2 linked regions of the Saccharomyces cerevisiae S288C genome follow. Changing the gene in region 1 together with any one later gene gives a genetic interaction. Each region holds a gene or a part of one and is shown in the gene's direction. Other genes may lie near its edges.

Evidence for each region. Genes that interact genetically often act in the same process or in processes that back each other up.
Region 2: mutations in EMP65 (region 1) and ERV15 together harm fitness more than expected from each alone (negative genetic interaction), as found in Saccharomyces cerevisiae (2 studies listed by BioGRID).

Annotation. Positions count from the first base shown.
Region 1 is NC_001137.3:445,266-453,778, forward strand, and holds EMP65 (Emp65p), read left to right. Parts: upstream 1-6,299; coding exon 6,300-7,970; downstream 7,971-8,513. Other genes in the region: YER137C-A (gag protein), read right to left, coding at 2,437-3,759; YER138W-A (uncharacterized protein), read left to right, coding at 4,209-4,313; RNA polymerase II subunit B1 CTD phosphatase RTR1, read right to left, coding at 5,298-5,978; COX15 (Cox15p), read left to right, coding at 8,194-8,513. UniProt on the Saccharomyces cerevisiae protein: May be involved in membrane protein folding.
Region 2 is NC_001134.8:641,299-646,478, forward strand, and holds ERV15 (Erv15p), read left to right. Parts: upstream 1-4,251; coding exon 4,252-4,680; downstream 4,681-5,180. Other genes in the region: DUR12 (bifunctional urea carboxylase/allophanate hydrolase), read right to left, coding at 1-912; YBR209W (uncharacterized protein), read left to right, coding at 1,285-1,602; AME1 (Ame1p), read right to left, coding at 4,860-5,180.

The DNA of each region.
Region 1 (8,513 bases):
GCCTCGATATATTTTTCTTTTTCTTTAATATCTTTATTATAGGTGATTGCCTCATCGTATCGTAAGGTTGTCCGTATTGGTTTGATTGATTTTACTGCTTTTACAGCTGCAATCAGGTGAATTCGTTTCTTCGATCTCGGAGGTTCTAAACTACGCATATTCTTAGTATTCCATGTGTCTCGTGATACCTTAATTTCAGTTTCATTATCTTCTAATGATCTTTTCTTACTGTTGATAGTAGTATAGGCATTAGAGTCACCAATACCACCCAAACTGGAATTAGTTTGATGAGAATTTATCGGTGGGAGTTCTTTAAATGGGTCAGGGAATTCGGTAGGAGATTCTGGAGGTAGATCAGGGAGTGGGAGATCAGCGATGATAGATTCCTCGGTATTCTGTTCAGAAACAGTAGTTGGCGTTTTGATAGGAACAATATTGTGCGATGAATTATTTTCCGGTGGAGAAGCATCGATTGAAGGTGAACGGTGTATAATCCTTTTCTCAGTCTCTTGGTCACTTATCTGCGGAACAGTTTTGTTGTTGGTACCACCCGTACTGGATATTGGTACGTTTGTATGATTAGTCTCATTTTCACTGTACGAGTCTGAGTGTCTGAAATCTTTAGATTTACTGGCGTGCGACGACTCATGTGTGTTAGATTGGGACATGGGAGCAAGTAAAGGAACATTTAATTTATGCATACCACCCGAACCGGTACTCTCGATATTGGAAATTTGGGGGGTGCTAGATCTCTTCTTTGATGGAAGAATATTAGATTCAGATATGTTGGGGTCAACTTCTCTGGGTGCGCGAATATTGGTTTTAGAAACACGTTTCGAATCTTCAGTATGAGTTGACGGAGGTGTGGAATCGGTTGGACTCACAGCTTTTGAAAGGACATTTCTCGGTTGCTCAGGATGTAGTTCGATGTCAGATTGGAAGTCATGGTCAGATTCTATGTTAAGATCATCGGATTGTTGGATCTCATTTGACGCAATGAACGATTGATATGAAGCAGTTAAACGGTTTAAGTCTTCATCGAAAGTGAGTGCGTCGTAATTGAATTGATCTAATCTGGATTCCTTGCCCTGAAGAATAACATAGTTAGTTGTATCTACTGTCTTCTTTAAGGATGGAAGATAGATGATATATCCATAAGAGTTTCGAGACGGATGTAGAGCGTAGCCTGGGATGCCACGAGGATGTATTTTGGAGTTAGGGTTGTGATCATTGACGATAACAGGTTGACCGAAAGGTAACAAAGTACTGATATCAAGTCCTGCCAAGCCAGCATGTTGTCTTGCAGATTTTTTGCTTTTAGGTGAAGCTAGTGAATTTCTCACAATAGTAGAAAATTCGATTGCAGAGAACCATAAATGGTTCGGTAAACCACTACATTGCAGTTGAGTACGGCAGTCATCTAATAAGGTACGGTTGAGCCGTTCAGCGACTCCATGTGCTCGGGAATCCGCTGTGGTTGTATAGCATGGAGTTATACCATTTTTTTCAAGGAATTTATGGAGAGTTCTGTTAGTATACTCAGAACCACGGTCCATTTGTATAACCAAGACACTGGCCTGAAACTGGTTCTTAATAAAAGCTAGTATCGTAGTAAAAACATCGAGGATAGAGTCCTCGCGACGGTCGTGTAATGGATAAACCCAACGGAATTTTGTTGTCTCATCAGTAAATGAGATGAAATAGGATGGTGCACTTTTTGGTAGGTTGTGAACTGGACCAAATATGTCAGTATGTAGGTATTGAAAGGGTTCGTATGAATTTTGGTATTTTAGTCGTGAACCTTTGATATGTCTGTGTTTGGTGCTTTTGCCGATTAAACAATCAGGACATTGATAGTCAATAGCACTAGACCAGTCGACATCTGATTCGTTAAAATACGTGATGGTGTTATTTTTAAGTGAGTATCGAATTGTCTGTGCATTGGCATGTGCAAGCATTCGATGAATGAAAGGATAAGGATATTTGCGTGTACTTTCACTTGTATGGACATTATTGATGGTGGGTACGGAGATATTTGATGGAAGCAAGTACTTTTTAGATACCCAGTAAAAGTCTCCATATTTTACGATAGGTGCAAGTACAGTGCCGTCAGATCGTTCTAAGACGTTTTTGGTAAAGCATGCTGTGATATCTACTGCAGCCAATTCATTCAAACTGAGTAAGTCATAGGCTATGTTAGGAGTGTGCAATACCTTTATTGATGTTTTGGTGTTGTCCTGGAAGTGAAATTGTAGGTCACCAATAGCGTTAATTGGTATATTTCTTTTTTGAGCATCAACTACGTTTATGTCAGGATTAGATGATGCTGAGTGTATGTGATGAGCAGATCTTATAAGGGTTCGTGATGCTCCTGAATCGAGAAGGAGGTGTCCAGGGAGTTCATCATCAGAATGATTAGTGTGATTTACCGTAGATTCAGTAAGTTCCTGGCCTAAGGTGAAGGTCGTGCTTATTGTTCAATTGAATCGGTTCAGTAGTTGATTTACTGATGGAATCGTTGTCCGTGCTGGGAGAGTTATTAGATGTGGATACATTGTGAGCCCTGGCTGTTTTCGATTTCGAATTATTTGTTTTTTGAGGATTCCGAGCTATAACTTTGGGTTTGGTTGTATTCGTATAGCTGCGAGAATCATTCTTCTCATCACTCAGATTTCTCCTGTAATTAGGTTTGCTGTTTCTCGATCCCTGTTGTTCTTCATAAATAGCATGGATATCTAAGAACAGTTCAGCGACTGTCATATTTAGATGTCGATGACGTGTGTAGCGTAAAAATTTATATTCGCCAGATAGACCTCTCATAATTAATTGGCATGCGACCTTGTTATTGATATGAATGCCATTATTGTTCAGTCTGTCGATAATGTTTGTGACTTTTGTTTCAAATGCATCTGCAGGTGTACTGCCATTATATTGCAAATTTGCCAGGGTCACAATGTCGTTTGCCTCTTGGGTATCAGATTGCATTTTTTCAATACTTTTGGAAAGAATTTTCATGATATCCGTATAATCAACGGATAGGATGTCTTTGACCCAGGTAGGTAGGAATTGAGAGGGAGCAAATATTTGAAAAGTGTTATACAAGAAGGTGAGTTCATCATCAGTGATCTGACGTACGGGTTTTCCGTTTACTGTCGGAATAATACCACCGAGATTCGAGTTTTGTAAAAATTTGATGTATGTTTTAACCCAATTTGGAAAGTCATTAGGTGAGGTTAACATTGGTGGTGGTCTGACATATTTTTTAGTGGATGTCATATCAGAGTCCGCTGAGGATGAATCAGTAAATGTATTACCTGACTCAGGTGATGGAGTGCTCAGAGGCGTTCCAACTGATGATGGATACTGCGGAAACTGTGATTGTGGCCCAGGTGGAAAGTACATAGGCGACATTTGATAAGGTGTATACGGAATCATAGATGGGTGTCCGTAAAATGACCAACCAGATGGATTGGCTTGGTTTTGGGTCATCATGCACTGCTGTGGGTACGGCCCATTCTGTGGAGGTGGTACTGAAGCAGGTTGAGGAGAGGCATGATGGGGGTTCTCTGGAACAGCTGATGAAGCAGGTGTTGTTGTCTGTTGAGAGTTAGCCTTAGTGGAAGCCTTCTCACATTCTTCTGTTTTGGAAGCTGAAACGTCTAACGGATCTTGATTTGTGTGGACTTCCTTAGAAGTAACCGAAGCACAGGCGCTACCATGAGAAATGGGTGAATGTTGAGATAATTGTTGGGATTCCATTGTTGATAAAGGCTATAATATTAGGTATACAGAATATACTAGAAGTTCTCCTCGAGGATATAGGAATCCTCAAAATGGAATCTATATTTCTACATACTAATATTACGATTATTCCTCATTCCGTTTTATATGTTTATATTCATTGATCCTATTACATTATCAATCCTTGCGTTTCAGCTTCCACTAATTTAGATGACTATTTCTCATCATTTGCGTCATCTTCTAACACCGTATATGATAATATACTAGTAATGTAAATACTAGTTAGTAGATGATAGTTGATTTCTATTCCAACACATCTACTAACTAGTATTTACGTTACTAGTATATTATCATATACGGTGTTAGAAGATGACGCAAATGATGAGAAATAGTCATCTAAATTAGTGGAAGCTGAAACGCAAGGATTGATAATGTAATAGGATCAATGAATATTAACATATAAAACGATGATAATAATATTTATAGAATTGTGTAGAATTGCAGATTCCCTTTTATGGATTCCTAAATCCTCGAGGAGAACTTCTAGTATATCTACATACCTAATATTATAACCTTAATCACAATGGAATCCCAACAATTACATCAAAATCCACATTCTCTACAAATGAAGAAACTGCTTATAGTCAATTGAACGATTTACCGGTATTTTAACGCCATTATATATATTAGTAAAAAGATGGCGTATATTGATGGACTAACAGGGTCAAATAAAATCATGAATTGACTAGTATATACTTATAAGTATATCGTTCTACACAAACTAGGAAGATGACATACATGATGAGAATTGGTTATCAAATTCCATGGATGCCGAAACGTAAAAGATTTACTAAATAGTAGGATAATTATTGATAACATACAAAACAAAAAAAAAAGAGACAATATTATTATCTAGAAGTGTCGACTTCCTTCTGTGGGTTTCCTATGTTCTCGAAGAGAGCTTCAAGTGTATTCTATAAACTAAGAATATTAGTTTAACGAAAGATCGAAGTCAGACACCTATCTAACTTTCATTAAATTATCACACAAAAATCCCACATACTCTCGTCTTGCTAAACAAATAATAAATTGAAGGTGAACGATTCTTCTTGCAGCGTCCTAGCTGTTGGGTCGTCTTAGATAAATATCTACTGTTCTGAATTGCCAAATTTTCCTTCTATTGTATCCATTCGATGCTGGACGGCCAGTTCTACCGTTATTGCCCAAAAGGAAGGAACGTCGCGATACTTCAACACATTAAATACTTGTTGATTTTCGAACCAAAACTCTGAAGCAACACTTTCGTATATGGATGGCCCTTCAGAGAAACCAATAGGTATGTAAAGAATTGCTACGTGGTGACTCAAAGTGAATTATAGCAAAGTTATAAAAGCGCTACATTGTAGAAAATTGAGAACCACATTTTGACATACACGAATAACAGTATTTTTGTCCTGGCGCTGTAAAGTATTTTAAGTTATGATGATGAATTAACTATTTTCAGCCAATGAAACGTCCATAATCTGTTCTGAATTTAGGTGCATTGATATAGCCGGTCAATCTTCCCTTGTGAAATCACCCAAAATGCTGGGATTATCATTCTCAACAATTTTGATTTGTGCCAACCACTTCGATAAATCATCTTCCAGCTCAGTATCATCTTTTTCTGTAGTCCCACTGTCAGGATTTAATCCTAACTTTTTGAGACCGGATATCAATGATTTAATGTCTTCTTCGGATGCCTTTTCTCTTAGCAACTCTTCAAACAAAGTCACTTTGAAATCTATATCGTGTTTGTCCTGTTCAGGATCTTCAAATAGGTGAACCCCTGTTCTTGCAAATAAAGCTTCATCAGATAGTTGCACTTGATAAAATTGGGAACATCTAAAATGGAACTTACTGCAATAGTGCGACAAATATGCATACGGATTGTTTTCTAATAAAAATTTCTTAGTAGTATCATTCATTGAAAATGGATCACGTATTCTTTCTGGCGATTTACCGCAAAGAGGATATCCGCATCTTTTGTTTAGATTCCTCTCATCTACTAGGTCTTGATACATATCCGGTGTGAGAAATCGGCCCAAATATTTCAATGTTTTCTCATCCTTGCATTCTGAATCACATAATAAGCCTATAATCTCTAAAGTTATAACTTCTGCTTCATGCATGGAAAGTTGCCTGTGCTTTTGGAAAGGGATTAACGCCGTTTCCTTAATATCTTCAATCGTCGCCATTTCTTATTCTTGTTAACTTCGTCCTAATTTTTCAAACTAAGATGCCGATGTATAGATATTTTAGACTGGGAATGTTTATGAATTGTTCAATTCGCTCCTCAATGTGTCTCTTTCTTCACTTTTCCATTGCTTTTGACCACTTCTGGATGCCAGCTGATTTTGTATTGTAGTATTCCTATTTCGGACAAAAATATCGGAAAGAGATGAAATAAGAAAATTAGTTACTTTTAATATCACGATGCTGTCTCTGAATCGACCTGATCGATCTATAAGGTGTATATATTATTCTACCGAGTAATCCAAAAAAAAAGCAGCACTCCCATGCAACACAAGGATACGGCAGTAGCGAAGGACACAGCTAAAAAACGTTTACTGAGAAGAAATAGTGCGCCGTCAGCTATACATATAATTTCACGATTAGACAAAAAGTGGTCCTTCCTATGGAATACTATAGATAGACACAATATTGTTGAAGAGCAAGATGAAAGTAGCGCTGCAAAAAGCGAAGAAGAACATGAGGATGATTATGAATTGGAACAATTACTCAACATGATAAGAATACCAATGTTCCTGGAAAAGTTCATGCTCTTTGCACTTTTAACAAGCTTGGACTGTTTTTTGTATTACTTTACTGTATTACCGATACGACTGATAAAGGGATATGTAAAGCAATTCAAGAGTTATCGTCAGCATTATCGCCTGCAACAACGGTCTGGGCATAAGAATAAAATACCCTTTCGATATAGAATAACTTCAAGAGAATATAAAGAGAGATGTATGATTTTTATCATCGTGATTTCATCCATTTTGTTGAGCAAACTAGACACCTCAAAACTATATCACAGGATAAAACGGCAAAGTACGATGAAATTGTACATGCTATTCAGTGTACTGGAAATGGCGGACAAAATGTTGGCAAGTTTGGGCCAGAGCTTATTAACGGTTATGCTTTCTAGGAAAAACTCGGAACGGATATTACTGCATAAATGTTTGTTAGTGTCAATGAGCTTGACATATGTGACTATACACGGCTATGTATTGGTTTACCAGGCCATTTCATTAAACATAGCCGTGAATTCGTATTCCAATGCCTTGCTAACTTTATTACTATCCATGCAATTTGCAGAAATCAAATCATCGGTTTTAAAGAAATTTGATAAGGAGGGATTTTTCCAAATAACCATTGCAGACGTAGTGGAAAGATTTAAGTTGACCTTATTATTGTCAATAACTGGCCTTAGGAACCTCCAGTCGTGGTCATCTTCATTATCGAACACAAGCATCAATTTCTGGAGTCCACGTTCCACATTATCAATCGTCATTAACATACTTTGTGGGCCGATGGTAAGCGTGGTAGGGAGTGAAGTGTTAGTGGATTGGGCAAAGCATGCTTACATCACAAAATTCAATCGGATCCGCCCACAGATATATGATAAGTTCTATTATATAATATACAAGGATTATTCTACGAGAACGCACAAATTAGAAGATAGATTGGGATTGCCTTTACCTGCATTCGTTGTCCTTTTTATTGTAATGGTGAGGCCAACACTTTTTAAATCATCGGAACCTTCTTACCTTCCTTCGCTATTTAGGATCCTCTTCATGGGGGCATCCGTGTTTTTACTAGCATTGTTGGCAAAATTTACACTAGATCTTATTTTAATCAAATGGAGCAAACGGATAGAGCAACGGTTCAGAGACCAAGCTTTCAATACCGTTGTAACTGAAGAAGAATACGTCCCAGGTTTACTCTCGGGCGGTATGGGTAAAGTCGACGTGTCTACAAGAATTGCATTACATTCTGATTACAATAAAGAGAATCGTATAGAGACCGAAAGTGTATCGCCAATGCGGAAAAGAAAAACTACTTTAACTGCTGAATGTACTCCTCCTAGCCTAAATGATATTAGAAGACAGAAAGATTCCAAGAATCCACGATCGCTTGAAAATGTCGCTCGCTATAAAATGGTTTCTAAAAGAATATGGTAATCTAAGATCCGCATTTATCGCGGCTTACGGCTTTCGGATATTTCGTATATTGCAAGGAGCAAAAAAGAAACCCTGCTTACTAAAAAGCTATTGTTTTGCAGTTTATAAGTTCTTGCCTTTTGAATTATTGATCTTTCCTTTATCGTTTATTTAGTTTCCTATTGTAACTTGGAACTGTATTATATAATAGTGCACAGCACTGAAGTTGTAACTACTGTACGTCATGCTTTTCAGAAACATAGAAGTGGGCAGGCAGGCAGCTAAGCTATTAACGAGAACCTCGAGTCGTTTGGCCTGGCAAAGTATTGGGGCCTCAAGGAATATTTCTACCATCAGACAACAAATCAGAAAGACTCAACTATATAATTTTAAGAAAACTGTGAGCATCCGTCCATTTTCTCTCTCCTCCCCTGTTTTTAAACCACATGTTGCTTCAGAATCAAACCCTATAGAATCACGTTTGAAGACCTCGAAGAATGTTGCTTACTGGTTAATAGGTACATCCGGTTTGGTATTTGGTATTGTTGTTCTTGGTGGGTTGAC
Region 2 (5,180 bases), on another chromosome or scaffold:
AGGCTCAAAATCAATTTCTATGACGTTAGCGCCCGTTCTTGATAGATTTTCGACAGCATTGGAAAACAGTACAGGATTCTTGGTTTCACCATACCATGGGATATTTTTAGGAATAGCAATCGTTACATTGCTTGAAAATTTTTTCAAAGGGTTGGAAACATAGGGTCTAGAATATTCATCATTATCAGGATCTGGCTGGCACATGATGCGGAAGCAGCGTTCAGCATCACTTAGGTTTAATGCAAAGATGGAGACGCAGTCTAAAGATTTACAAGCGGGAACTACACCTTGACAGGAAAAGACGCCCTTTGTTGGCTTTAGGCCAATCAGGTTGTTCAAGGCGGCTGGGACTCTACCAGAACCTGCTGTATCAGTACCCAATGCAATTGGTACGATACCTCTGGCGACCACCGATGCTGACCCAGCGGAGGAACCACCAGATACATGCTCTTTGCTAAAAGCGCAAGGTGTTTTCCCATATGGAGACCGTGTGCCGACTAATCCTGTGGCAAATTGGTCCAAGTTTGTCTTACCCACGATTATCGCACCTGCATTTCTTAGTAGTTCTACTACTTTAGAGTCTTTGGAAGGCTCATATGCAAAGGATGGACATGCAGCGGTGGTGGGTAGACCTCTAACGTCGATGTTGTCCTTAACAGCAATAGGGACACCGTAGAGAGGTAGAGTTTCTTTATTTTCTCTGCTCTTTAAAATTTGGAATTGGTGCAGTAAATTTTCCTTTGAAATTAGCGATATCCACGCATTATCGACTGGCGCAACATTTTGAGAGTCTAGTAGTGATTCAAGAAGCCTTAGTGAAGCCTGGGAGCTTGATGACTTGTGGAAATCAATCCAGTCTTGGATTGACCAACCTAACGATATTTCAGCAGTTGTATCGGAACTAACTGTCATTTTTTAATCAAAACTGAAATTTATTGTGACTATAAAAAAGATATTTCTATTTTTTATCTTTTATATTAATGTAAATTGAAATTTGGTGTATATCAGCTGCTCCACTGATATATTAATATAAGCTTATAAAAACTTGAGCCTATATGATCCTAGAAAAAAAAAGCTTAGCTAAGAGAGCCTGATATTCAGAAGTGAGCGAGTATACAAATCTCACACCTCATCTGCTCTAGTGTTTAAATACAAACATTCAATTTCCAACAACGTCTAACAAAGCTCGATTCAAATTAAGAAGCAGGAAAAAGCAAAACATCTGCGTGTCTTATCTCAATGGCTTGCGCTAACTGCGAACAGAGTGCCCTATGAAATAGGGGAATGAACGCATATTGGTTTCATTATAGAGCGTCAATCAAGAAAGAGGCACCAAACTATAAACGCACATTTCTCGGTAGGGCTAGGAACGCTTTCCTGCTTATCTTATCTGAAGCTTATTTATTGTTCGTTTTTTTATCTTATCTGATAAGGGGAAAAAGCCTGGAAAAGCGCGTAAATGATGAGGCGAAATGCAGCCAAAGATGCGTGCCGTTGCAGTTAGCTAACAACCTGGCGTTCGGCGATCGCCATAAGAGATCTGCCAATTTTAAAAAGGGTATTGCCAATACACATAGTAGCCTTATCTGCAGCAAGCCATAGGACTAATGTGTTCGACGTCGTTGGGGAAAAAAAGCAAAGAACATGTTGCCTTTGAGGAGACTGCAGCAAGAAAAAAAGTTCAATAAGGATTGCAAAAAAAAAAAGAAGCTCGCACTCAGGATCGAACTAAGGACCAACAGATTTGCAATCTGCTGCGCTACCACTGCGCCATACGAGCTTTCTATTACATGTGGGAAGACTAATATAGATAGTATAGTCAATTATACGAAGTAGTGCCAGCCCCACATATAAGAGAACGGTGGAATATTTGAACTGTATGCAAAGAAGTTTCAGCGGGGACCTTTATTTTAGAAAAAGCGAATAAATGTCGCTCATTTGTTTAAACGGTATTTGTTGGACTGAGGGTTGCTTCCATACGGAAATGCTAACGAAGAGGATGTGCTGAATTTTGCTATGTTTGGAATGGGCTCCTCCATCTGGGAATGATAATCATTTTTATTATTGTGTGTTCAAATACACTTACACATCTGTTTTTTCGTGGTAAGGAATCCGAGAATCACATGAGGTTTGGGATAGTTGCTGGCAATCAATGAATGACATCAGATAAAACGAAAGGAGAAATAATATGTTGATAATTAGAGGTTAAAAATTAGTATTAATGAAGAAATAATTACTGATCTTCTTATACTAAATAAGAGAGGTATATAAAACACACGCCGATTGGTCATATTAATCATGACCAATATAATAGTGATTCCGGTAGTTACTATACATTGATGTGACGACTCATATTCCTCATATATGTACCTACCATAACATGTTCAACTAATAGGTCTTTAACACAGCTTCAGTATTGTCTGAGCTTCTCGTTTAACATTCCTTCTGCAATAGGCGCAATCACACTTAAACGTATACGAGTTGTACATTAATATACGATGTAAGCATTGAATTGTTACCATAGCAACTCATGTCACTATTAATTACTCTCGTTCCAACATAATATTATTATGGAGTAATATCTATTCCCTTTCGTGGATTCCAAGATTCTCGAGGTATATTTCCAGTATATTTTGTATACCTGATATTATAGCCTTTAGCAACAACGAAATCAACATTTATCTCAAATTTCACCTGTTTCTCATTTTTAAGCGCCTAGCCCATCTAATCATCTTAACTATTCATCAGGGAAAATTAATATACATTGTGCTCTTAATGTTTCGAAAAATAATCAAAATCAATAGAAATAGCGTTTTGCTACTAACAAAGCCCTTTGATCCAAAGTTGGCTTCTGAGAACTTAACATTTCAGTAGAACAAGCCTCAAGCTTAAATGAAGAATGGCAAAGTAAATGAGACCTCTCTCTCCATATTTTGCTCAGAGCCTGTTAAGGAAAACAACACCGCACATTAGTGTGAAAAACTTTCCCCGCAAGCTGTTGGAAGATGAATCATTTATTATCTTTTGACTGTTAGCTACATTACTAGCTGTTATCAATCTCTCAGACGATTATATGAATATTGAGATAGTTGTTGGGATTAACTTATTGTTAGAGGCTATAGCATCAGATATACAAAATAAAATAAAAAGTTCTCCTCCAAGATATAGTGTAATCGATATTTCGATGTAATGCCATCATTATTTCTTCTATTTTATGTATTCCTATTGTCCTCTAACATTGTATCTGATAATATTCTAGTAATAGGATTACCATCACTAAATGATAGTTAATTCTCATTCCAAAACCGACTCCTGTCAATATTGAGGACCCATTTATTCCAACGGTCCAAATCCCCAATATTCCCTGCTCGGCAAGAAGTTAGAAAACATATCTTTCGTGCTCTTGCAGGCTTGCTGTATTATCATAACCGAAGGATGACCAACTTTGATCACCCCAGGTGGCAAAAACATAATACATGGTGGTGGTGTCGTTGTAAAAATCATCTTCTTTGGGTGTGTATAGGATCCCATCCAACACACGTGTTAAAATGACATCAGGTATCAATGCTAATCCGTCGTCACTGACAATAAGCTGAGTTGACATCACCTGATGATGTGAAATAGTAGCAAGAGAACTAGGGTAAGGTTCATGCTGGTTGTTTTCCTATGATGACCAACCTTTGGAATTGGGTAATTCTAGGTGTAGCCTGCTAGCCATCAAACGAGACCTTTCAAAATCTTCAGTCATTACATTTTCTTCTGTAAATAGGGAAAAAAGCCTTTAGCTAGGATTGTTCGGCAATAGAAAGCCCTCCAGTTTAAACTTGACATAGAAAATCTTTAAGGTTAAATCAAACATAAGTTATTATCCGATATAGTGTAACGGCTATCACATCACGCTTTCACCGTGGAGACCGGGGTTCGACTCCCCGTATCGGAGTTATTTTTTGTTTCTATACCATTATTTTTCTTGAATGTTGCATTATGATAGTATAGTTTTGCTATACAAACTTCAATTCTCAAAACACAGTACGTCTAGCTCACTACTACTCTCTCTAATTCAAAATCGTTCACTTCTATCGAAAGCTGTGATAATTTGGAAATATTGTCGTGGGCCACGAATGATTTTTCAATTACATTGCTAAATACGAAGACATTAATACCTTTATTCATATAAGCACTTTCATTATCATTTTTTACTAAAGATAAAACTAACTGCAGGCACCAAGAAGTTCGAAGCCAAGAGTAAAGATGTCAGGAACCGGATTATCGCTATTCGTGACGGGTCTTATACTGAATTGTTTGAATTCCATTTGCCAGATATACTTTACTATATTATATGGTGATCTTGAAGCAGACTATATCAACTCAATCGAACTGTGTAAGAGGGTGAATAGGTTGAGTGTACCAGAGGCAATTCTACAAGCTTTCATTTCTGCATTGTTTCTTTTTAACGGGTACTGGTTCGTATTTCTCTTGAATGTCCCTGTTCTAGCATATAACGCAAGTAAAGTCTACAAGAAAACACATCTACTGGACGCCACGGATATTTTCAGAAAATTGGGTAGATGCAAAATTGAATGCTTTTTAAAATTGGGATTTTACCTTCTCATATTCTTTTTCTACTTCTACAGAATGGTCACAGCGTTACTTGAAAATGATGCAAATTTGATAAGCTAATAGCGACAACAGGAAAAAAAAAGAGAGATTTGTGCATATCTATGAAGTATGTCTACCACATAAAAATGACCTTATAACACAACTTCCTTAGTATGGAAGTAATACATATATACATATATACATATATACATACATATATATATATATATATATATATATACATCTTTTGAACCAATTCCCTATAGACTTGGTTGTAATTCGTTAGAAAGATTTTCATTAATTTTATTTATCTTTTTCAGAAGTCCGTTATATGGATCCATCAAGTCTACGAAATGTGCAATATCCAGAATATTTGAGTCATCCCGTATTGAATCGTCCTCGCTATCTTGGCTCATAATTTTGCGATCTCCCTCGTATTTGCCTAGCAAAGTAGAAGTCAAATCATTTAGCCTCTTATTTAGCTTCACTTTGTCGTTCAGTTTGGCTTGTTCATTTTGTAAGTCATGCCAGTCTTTACCGGCTTTCAACTCTTGAATTTCATTTCGTACCGATATTATCTG